Macaca mulatta: one gene and its partner. The protein of the gene in region 1 interacts with the protein of each later gene in a biochemical or structural test. Links are inferred from orthologs where the notes say so. Each region holds a gene or a part of one and is shown on either strand. Other genes may lie near its edges.

Region 1 (3,712 bases):
CGGGGTGAAGGAATGTGCCGGGAAATCTGGAAAAAGGCGACCAGTCACTGTAGACTGTGGGTCACCCTCTGCCTTCTAATCCCCCGCCACTCAGGGGAGAAAGGAGGTAACCACAGGCTGGCTTTTCCAGGAAAGCCGCCGAAAAACCAGACGGACCCAGCGGGACGGCACAGAAACGCTCGGAGGCGCACGACGTTCCGAGGAGGCCCCGACTGCTGGAATGGGCATGTCCGCTGATCTGATCCCTGATACCAGCTACAATGCACTAAAAACTTCTTGGACTTTCTAACTGCTGTAAACGGATTAGCTGGGTTCTGGGGCCGCGCCGGGAGGTGGCGGTGTGGTCCTGCGCGAGCGGCCGGCCGCGTTCAAGTTCAAGCTCCGGGCTGGGAGGCAGCTTCCCGACCTCCGTGTTTCTGTAGTAACTTAAAGAGCCAGGCTGGGGGCCGAGGGGCTCGCGGGGGAGGGTTCCTGCCCCCGGGGGCGGCGGGGAAGGCGAGGGCGCGTGGGCGACCCCGCTCCGGCGGCACAGCCAGGGGGCCCGGCTCCTCCCCGTCGGGAAGACGCGGCTTCTCCGGGCGGCGGGGAAGGGTCCCCGGGGCCGCGCCCGCCCCCGCGCCACCCGGGCCGCGCCGCCCTCGGCCCTCGTCCCCGCTCCCGCCCGCGCTTCCCACCGCCCGGCCAGGTCCCCAGGCCCCTCCCCGGGTCCCCGCCCCAGGCCCCGCCAGACCCGGCGCCGCCGCCGCCGCCGCCCCCGCCCGCGCGCCCAGCCCCGCTCCCCCCGCGAGCGCGCTCCCGCCGCCGGCCGCGCCTCCCCTCCCCCTCCTCCTTCCTCCCCCGCCCTCCCGCTCCCGCTCCCGCCGCCGCCTCCGCCCGCCGCCCCGGCCGCGTCGGGTAAACCTGTTTGGAGAGGCGGCCGCGCCGGGGCGGATCGTGCGGCCGGCGGCTCCCTCGCGGCTCGCGGCGTCGGGGCCCGTGGCGCGCGCGCGGCCGCCCCTCGGCCCCGGAGCCCCTCGGCGGCGCCACCATGTACTCGGGAGCCGGCCCCGGTGAGTCCTCGCGCTCGGGGCGCCCGCCCGGCCGTTCGCGCGCTCCTGCCCGTGGTTGGCGGGCCCGGCGCGGGCGGCGGGGGCCGGGGATCGGGGGGCCGCGGGGTCGGGGCGGCGGGGGCCGGGGGCGGGCGAGCCGGGGCCGGGCTTGGGGGCTCGGGGAGCGGCGGCGGCGGGGCCGGGCCGGCCGTTTTCTCGGCGCCGCGTTGGACGCGCAGCCCCGGCCTCCTCGGCCCCCGCGAGTCGTCGGGGCGCCCCGCGCGGCCTGGGCCCCTCCCGCGCCTCGGGCCCGCGTCCCAGCGTCCGCATCCCCCGCCCGGGGCCCGGCGGGCTGGGGCCGGGGCCGAGGCTGCCGGCGCGTGTAGGCCCGAGGCCCGGAGCGCCCCGCTTGGCCCGGCCTCGCTGCCCGCGCGGGGATGGGGGCGCCGCAGCCCGGCCTGGCCCGGCCCTAAGCGCCCGAGGGGGTGGAGGCCGGCTCGGGGCGCCCGGCTCGGGGCGCGCACGGCCGGGAGGGGAGGGGGCTGCGCCGGTCCCGACCCCAGCCGCCGCGAGTCTGAGGCGCGCTCCGCTGTGGTCCAAGATTCTTGCCGCCAGCACTTCTTCGGCCCCTTTTCCCAAGGAAAGTCTGGAAATGCTGAATTTTGGCCAATTCCTGTAGTTAGGACTGCCGCCTGGAAGGGGGAGGACGCGGCTCCCCGGAACCCTCAAACTGCGTGCGCGGCTCGTTCTCATTCCAGACACGCCGGCCTCCCCATTCAAGTGCTAATTCCTTTTACAATTTCCTAGGAGAGGTGAGGCGAGGTGGATTCCTGTAGCACCCCTTGTTGCTAGTCGGCCTTTCTCTGGAAAAGTTCTAAAAAACTTAAAGCAGTAACGCATTGTTTTTCTTTTTAAATGCAGAGTAGAAGGCGGTTTCCTTGCTGGGCCGAGAAAACGGTCAAGTGTTGTACTGCTTTTGGCGTGCTCCCACCAGGCACGTGGCTCCTGGCTCTCCCGGCCGGCCTGGCCGCTGGGACGGGGCACCGCCTGCTCCCCTTTGTCCGCTGGGCCCCAGTCGGGCCGCAGCCTCGCCAGGCTCGGGGCTTATGTTTACCCGGCCGGTGAGGAGGCTCGCATTCCCGATGCTGCCCTCGCTGCTGCAGACCGGCCCCAACTTGTGCGGCCCGGGAGGCCCCCTGGCCCACCTGGGTCCGTTGATGGGGGCCCCCACTGCTGAGGCTGTTGGCTCTGTGCCTTGCGAATGTCGCGTCTTTTTTCTGATGTCATTTAGAAAGCTTCAACAAGGCGGAGTCTGACCAACTTTTCAAGCCATGAGGGCTATCAGCAGTTTGAAGAATGATTTTCCCCCTACACCTGGGAGGGCCACAGTCCTGGAGCAGATGCTGGCCTCTGGAGGCCCTGAGTGGCCAGGCGCCCTCGTGGGAAGGGACCGGGCATCCCCTTGTGTGAGTTGGGACCTTCCAGCTCCTTCCTATAGAGGAACACAGCACACACGGGACTGACAGCACATTTGTTCAGGTTATCAGTTTTAAAAGTTGGAGGCCCAGAAAAAGTGAAGAGCCTTGAGGAAGGTCAAGCTTTCCGTGTTGTGTTTTGCGTGTTAGTTAATTCGCTCCGCTTGCGGAGGTTGCTGGTGTTTGTGAAGACAGACAGTCAGGGCTCAGAGAAGCTGAGAACTTCACCAAGGTCACGCAGCAGTGAGTGAGTGTTGGGACCATCAGTCGGACTTCCGAGCTGGTTCTCTGGGTGCCTTCCTCAGGGCAGTGCCTTTCAGGCCCTATAACCCAGACCCACAGCAAGAAGTGTCTGTTAGGGCTGGACTGGACCAGCACCTGCCCGCCTACTTGTCATTGACAGTGAGGCTTCAGGAAGCAACCCCAGCTCACTGCTGTTCTTTACTGTGTGCTCTGCCCTGGGACGCTGGCTTGTCGATTTCATTTGTCAGTGTACCTTGGCCCTCAGGATCCGCAGGCTTGTTTCTGTCACTCGCTGCTGTTTGGAGATTGTTGCTGTGGTGTGGGCCTGGTAGGGAGCGGACCCTCTGGAACAGGACAGTGGTTGAAAGAATAAATGTGTCTGCAGGATAATTCATAGCTAATGGCAGGATGGGAATGAACCCAAGTTTCAGGTTGTATAAACGTGCTGTAATTATAAGTCTGTGGTGCAGTTCAATTTTATGCTACACATTAAGGCTTTTAATTTTGTGTAAAAGGAATTTTTGGAATAGTCTTCGTTGAGACTCTTTTTAATCTTATATTTTCTAATTTAGAATTATAAGACATTCCATTTGAATTATAGAAAAATTACATTGAGAGGCCAAGGCGGGTGGATCACGAGGTCAAGAGATTGAGACCATCCTGGCCAACACGATGAAAACCCTGTCTCTACTAAAAATACAAAAATTAGCCGGGCGCGGTGGTGCGCGCCTGTAGTCCCAGCTACTGGGGAGGCTGAGGCAGGAGAATCGCTTGAACTCTTGAGGCAGAGGTTGCAGTGAGCCAAGAGGGCGCCACTGCACTCCAGCCTGGAGACAAAGTGAGACTCTGTCTCAAGAAAAAAAAAAAAGAAAAGAAAAATTACAAATAGTTTTGCTACTTCCAATTGTAACACCCTTATTAGGCAACTTACTAATTTAAAAAACAGTTCACAATAGCTCTACATTA
Region 2 (3,744 bases), on another chromosome or scaffold:
TAATCCCAGTACTTCGGGAGGCCAAGGCAGACCGATCACGAGGTCAAGAGATCCAGACCATCCTGGCCAACATGATGAAACCCCGTCTCTACTAAAAATAACAAAAATTAGCTGGGTGTGGTGACAGGCCCCTGTAATACTAGCTACTCAGGAGCCTTACGCAGGAGAATCACTTGAATCTGGGAGGCGGAGATTGCAGTGAGCCCATTGCAGTGAGCCCAGGTCCTGCCACTGCACTCCAGCCTGGCGACAGAGCGAGACTCTGTCTCAAAAGAAAAAAAAAAAAAAAAAGGAAGCAGTTTCAGCACCTGTCTCACAATGTGCACACAGTTAAAGCACCTACCTTACAGAGTGCACGTGAGGATCACAGGCATGCAAGCCCTATATCAGCCTGTCCAATGGCAATATAATGCAGGCCACAGATGACATTTAAAATTCTGTAGGACCCACACTAAAAAATAAATAAAACTGATATTTTTATATATTTTGATATATTGATCTCAATATATCAAAAAACGTTTATCACTTCAACATGTAACAATTTTTTGAACATTATTTGGTAAAGAACGCATACACCTCGATTCGGACTAGCCATACTTTAAGTGCTCAGGAGCCATGCGGGGCTGGTGGCCCCAAACTGAACAGCACAGCCCAGGCAGCACCGGCGCAGAGTAGGTTCTGCTCACGCCCATGGGCTGAAAGCAACACGGTTGCAGTTGCTGTGAGCACACCTCACCTGGAGCAAACCGGCCTATCAGGGAGTCCACCGAACAGATGTCTACATTTGGGGGATAAATTAAGACAATGTTCTTTAAGCCAGTCACTTATGTAACTCCCACCGATATTTTAACTCCTAGCTACGAGATGTGGTGGGTGGTTCCGACCTATGCAAATGATCAGTGTACATACAGAGGGCCACCGTCTATTTCTCATTATCTGGGGATCCCAGTTGGGGTGGGGGGGCGGAAGTGGGTGTTTGTTATTTCCCCAAATGCGAAGGCCCCTGCACCACTAACGCGGGGAAACGCAGGCGAGTGGGAAGGTACTTTAAAAAGGGGAGGGAGGTGCTCAGAGAGAAGCTAGGCTCTCTGGGGAACAATTACGGCCACGTTACGGTCTGTGGGTGCCAGAAGGGGCAACAATGGAGGCAGTCGAATTCCGAGAGCTGAGATAGTCAGCCAAACTTAGCCGGCCTCGGCCCGCGGGTTCCCGAGGGCCCCAAAGACTCCACGCCACTAGGGTCCAGTCTCGGCACTGGGCCGCAAACACCGCCTCGGCCTCGGCGCGCACACCCGCTGTCTCCCTGCTCCTGAATGGCTGGGGGGCCGGGATTAACCTTTCACCGCTGGGCCCTGTCCAATCACAGGCTCGCTCTCATGCCGCCACGGGGCGAGCGGAGCGTGGGGGCGCGGAGGGGCGGCGCGGGCGCCAGTGGGATTCTCCAAGCGGCTGTGCGCCGTTGCCGCGGGCCGTGCGCAGGCTGCGGGCCAGCCGGGCGCTGCGCAGTCTCCGCAGGGGCCGGCGGGAGGGGTCGAGGCGGAGGCGCGGCGCAGGCTGCTGCAGGCCCAGGTGAATGGAGTAACCTGACAGCGGGGACGAGGCAACGGCTAGCGCGAGGAAATGGCGGCGGGGGCGGCGGCGCCGGGCGGCTCCGGGAGGCCTGGGCTGTGACGCGCGCGCCGGAGCGGGGTCCGATGGTTCTCGAAGGCCCGCGGCGCCCCGTGCTGCAGGTGAGGCGGGCTCCCGCGGAGCAGCTTTGTGTCCGGGGCCGGGAGCGGCAAGCCCAGCCGCGCTCCCGCCTCCGCGCTGAGGCCCGCGTGCCGGCCATGGGCCCGGGCCGCGCGTCCGGGCCTGGCGGGTGCTGGTGGAGGGCGCGGCCTCGCTTGCCTCGTCGTCCCGCGCAGCGCGGCCTGTGGACCCGGTGTCTGCCAACCCCGGCGCCTCAGCGCGAGGCAGCCCTGGGAGACTCTCCGGACCTCCGTGGCGTGGTGGGGGACGCCGGCGCCTGCCCACTCCCCGGCCTGGCGAGGCCAGGGGGTTCTTGACAGGTCCCGTCACGCGCGCGAAAGTGGCGCAGGAACAGCGGAGGTGGAGACACGCGCCCTGCCAGCCGGAGCACCCTGGGGCCCTCCTGTGATGGGGCCGCTGCGCCGCGCTCGGAGGGGACGAAGTCGGGCTCTAGGTCCCTCCCGGGAGGGTCCTGTGTGATTACTGTCAGGGGACCAGATCGGAGCCCGGGGGGGGCGGGCGGGGCCGAGGCCATTCTTTTTCCTCTCCCCTCAGATGTTTTTGTGCCAACATGCCCAGACCCTGCGGAGGAGCCTTTCTTCAGGGTTTTTGATTTTGGGGAAATCAGAGTATGTTTTAAGTTAGCACATCAGATTTATGTAGATTGTCCAGAAAAGCTGAGTCGCCCTGATGGCTCTGCCTGGAGGTCAGAGCTAGCAAACCACTGAGTGTGTCCTTAGAATCCTGAAGATCTGCGGAAACGTGGAGATGAGTGGAGGGTCCTTGGTGTGTAGTGTTCACTCAGTGCTTTTGTGGAGAGAGTTGTGGTTAAAGGGACACGTTACTGGTCTACACGATAAGTAAGTGTTCTTAGGACTTTCAGATTTTAAAAACATTCATCTGATGAACGAGGATCACTTGGACGTCTATGCTTCTGTCTTCGAATATTCTGAATCTTTACAATCCTGATTGTCAGGTGTCTTCGTGGTGCTTGTCTTGAGTCAGTGGAAAAGGACTCAGGTTAGGAGTTAAGTAACTCGGAAAATATTGTTAAAAATGTGCTTTTAAAACAGGTTAGCTATATTGAAAATGTATTGGTGTAAGCGTTAAGTTTTCTAAATAAAAATATACATCCTTACCAAAAAACTCAGTTTACTAAAAGATGGGTTCGGGATAAGCCAGGTCCTAAAGAATAGTAATTTTCGATATTATTGATATCTTTGGGAATTAGGTTCCGGAATAGCCGGTTTATTTTGCAAAGTCTACTTTAAGGCTACCTGTGGCACGTGTGTATTATATGTAATATGTGCTATATACATTCAAAACTTCATTTTAGGGCATATTCCATAAAACTCAATAGATTAAAAAAACAAAAAACTAAAGATTGCTTTTAACATGGTCACTGTAAACATTGATCATGGTAACATATGTTTATAGATTTACTCATGGCACCAAAATGCTGTTTTAAGAAAAGAACAGTTAGTCCATTTTTATGTGGGGAGAAAAGACATTTTCCTACAATCCTTTTTAGTGAGGGCCTGCTTTACTTTTTGTGCTTCCATCTCATGTTTGAAGGGTGAGCCCTGACTGCTGTATTTTGCTGCTGGCTCAGTGTGTGAGTTGGGTAACAGGGTGGTTTTGCTATTATTGAGCTTTATTGTCTTGGTTTTAGAAGACATTTTCTTTTGATGTGGCTCATGATTCTTATTTGACGGTGATTTTGTGGTGTCACATAGTGGGTTGTACAGTACTTGTAGTGCTACCTTCTATAGAGGGTGACTTGTGGCGTTGCGATGTTTTATTCTCTACCACTATCTGACATGTGAGGAGCTTGTTTCATTTGAGAAGGTAGGTATTTCGTAGACATTCTTTCACTTGCGACCCTACCTTGTCGTGGTCACATTTCCACTTGCTCATGGCAAAGGAGATAAGGGAAACATGTTATTGAGTGCTTCCTTGTTATGTGCCAAGATGTTTCAGGTTCTACATACATTCTCTTCTAATCCTTACTGTGAC

What was found. The genes of interacting proteins can lie anywhere in the genome.
Region 2: the proteins of AGO2 (region 1) and DICER1 form a complex in vitro, tested with the Homo sapiens proteins (2 studies listed by BioGRID and IntAct). The link is inferred for Macaca mulatta from reciprocal best matches to the Homo sapiens genes AGO2 and DICER1.

The regions. Positions count from the first base shown.
Region 1 is NC_133413.1:150,960,011-150,963,722, reverse strand, and holds the start of AGO2 (protein argonaute-2), read left to right. Parts: upstream 1-859; 5' UTR 860-1,027; coding exon 1,028-1,049; exon of another isoform or gene 1,050-1,100; intron 1,101-3,712.
Region 2 is NC_133412.1:168,447,352-168,451,095, reverse strand, and holds the start of DICER1 (endoribonuclease Dicer), read left to right. Parts: upstream 1-1,430; 5' UTR 1,431-1,569; exon of another isoform or gene 1,570-1,730; intron 1,731-3,744. UniProt on the Homo sapiens protein: Double-stranded RNA (dsRNA) endoribonuclease playing a central role in short dsRNA-mediated post-transcriptional gene silencing.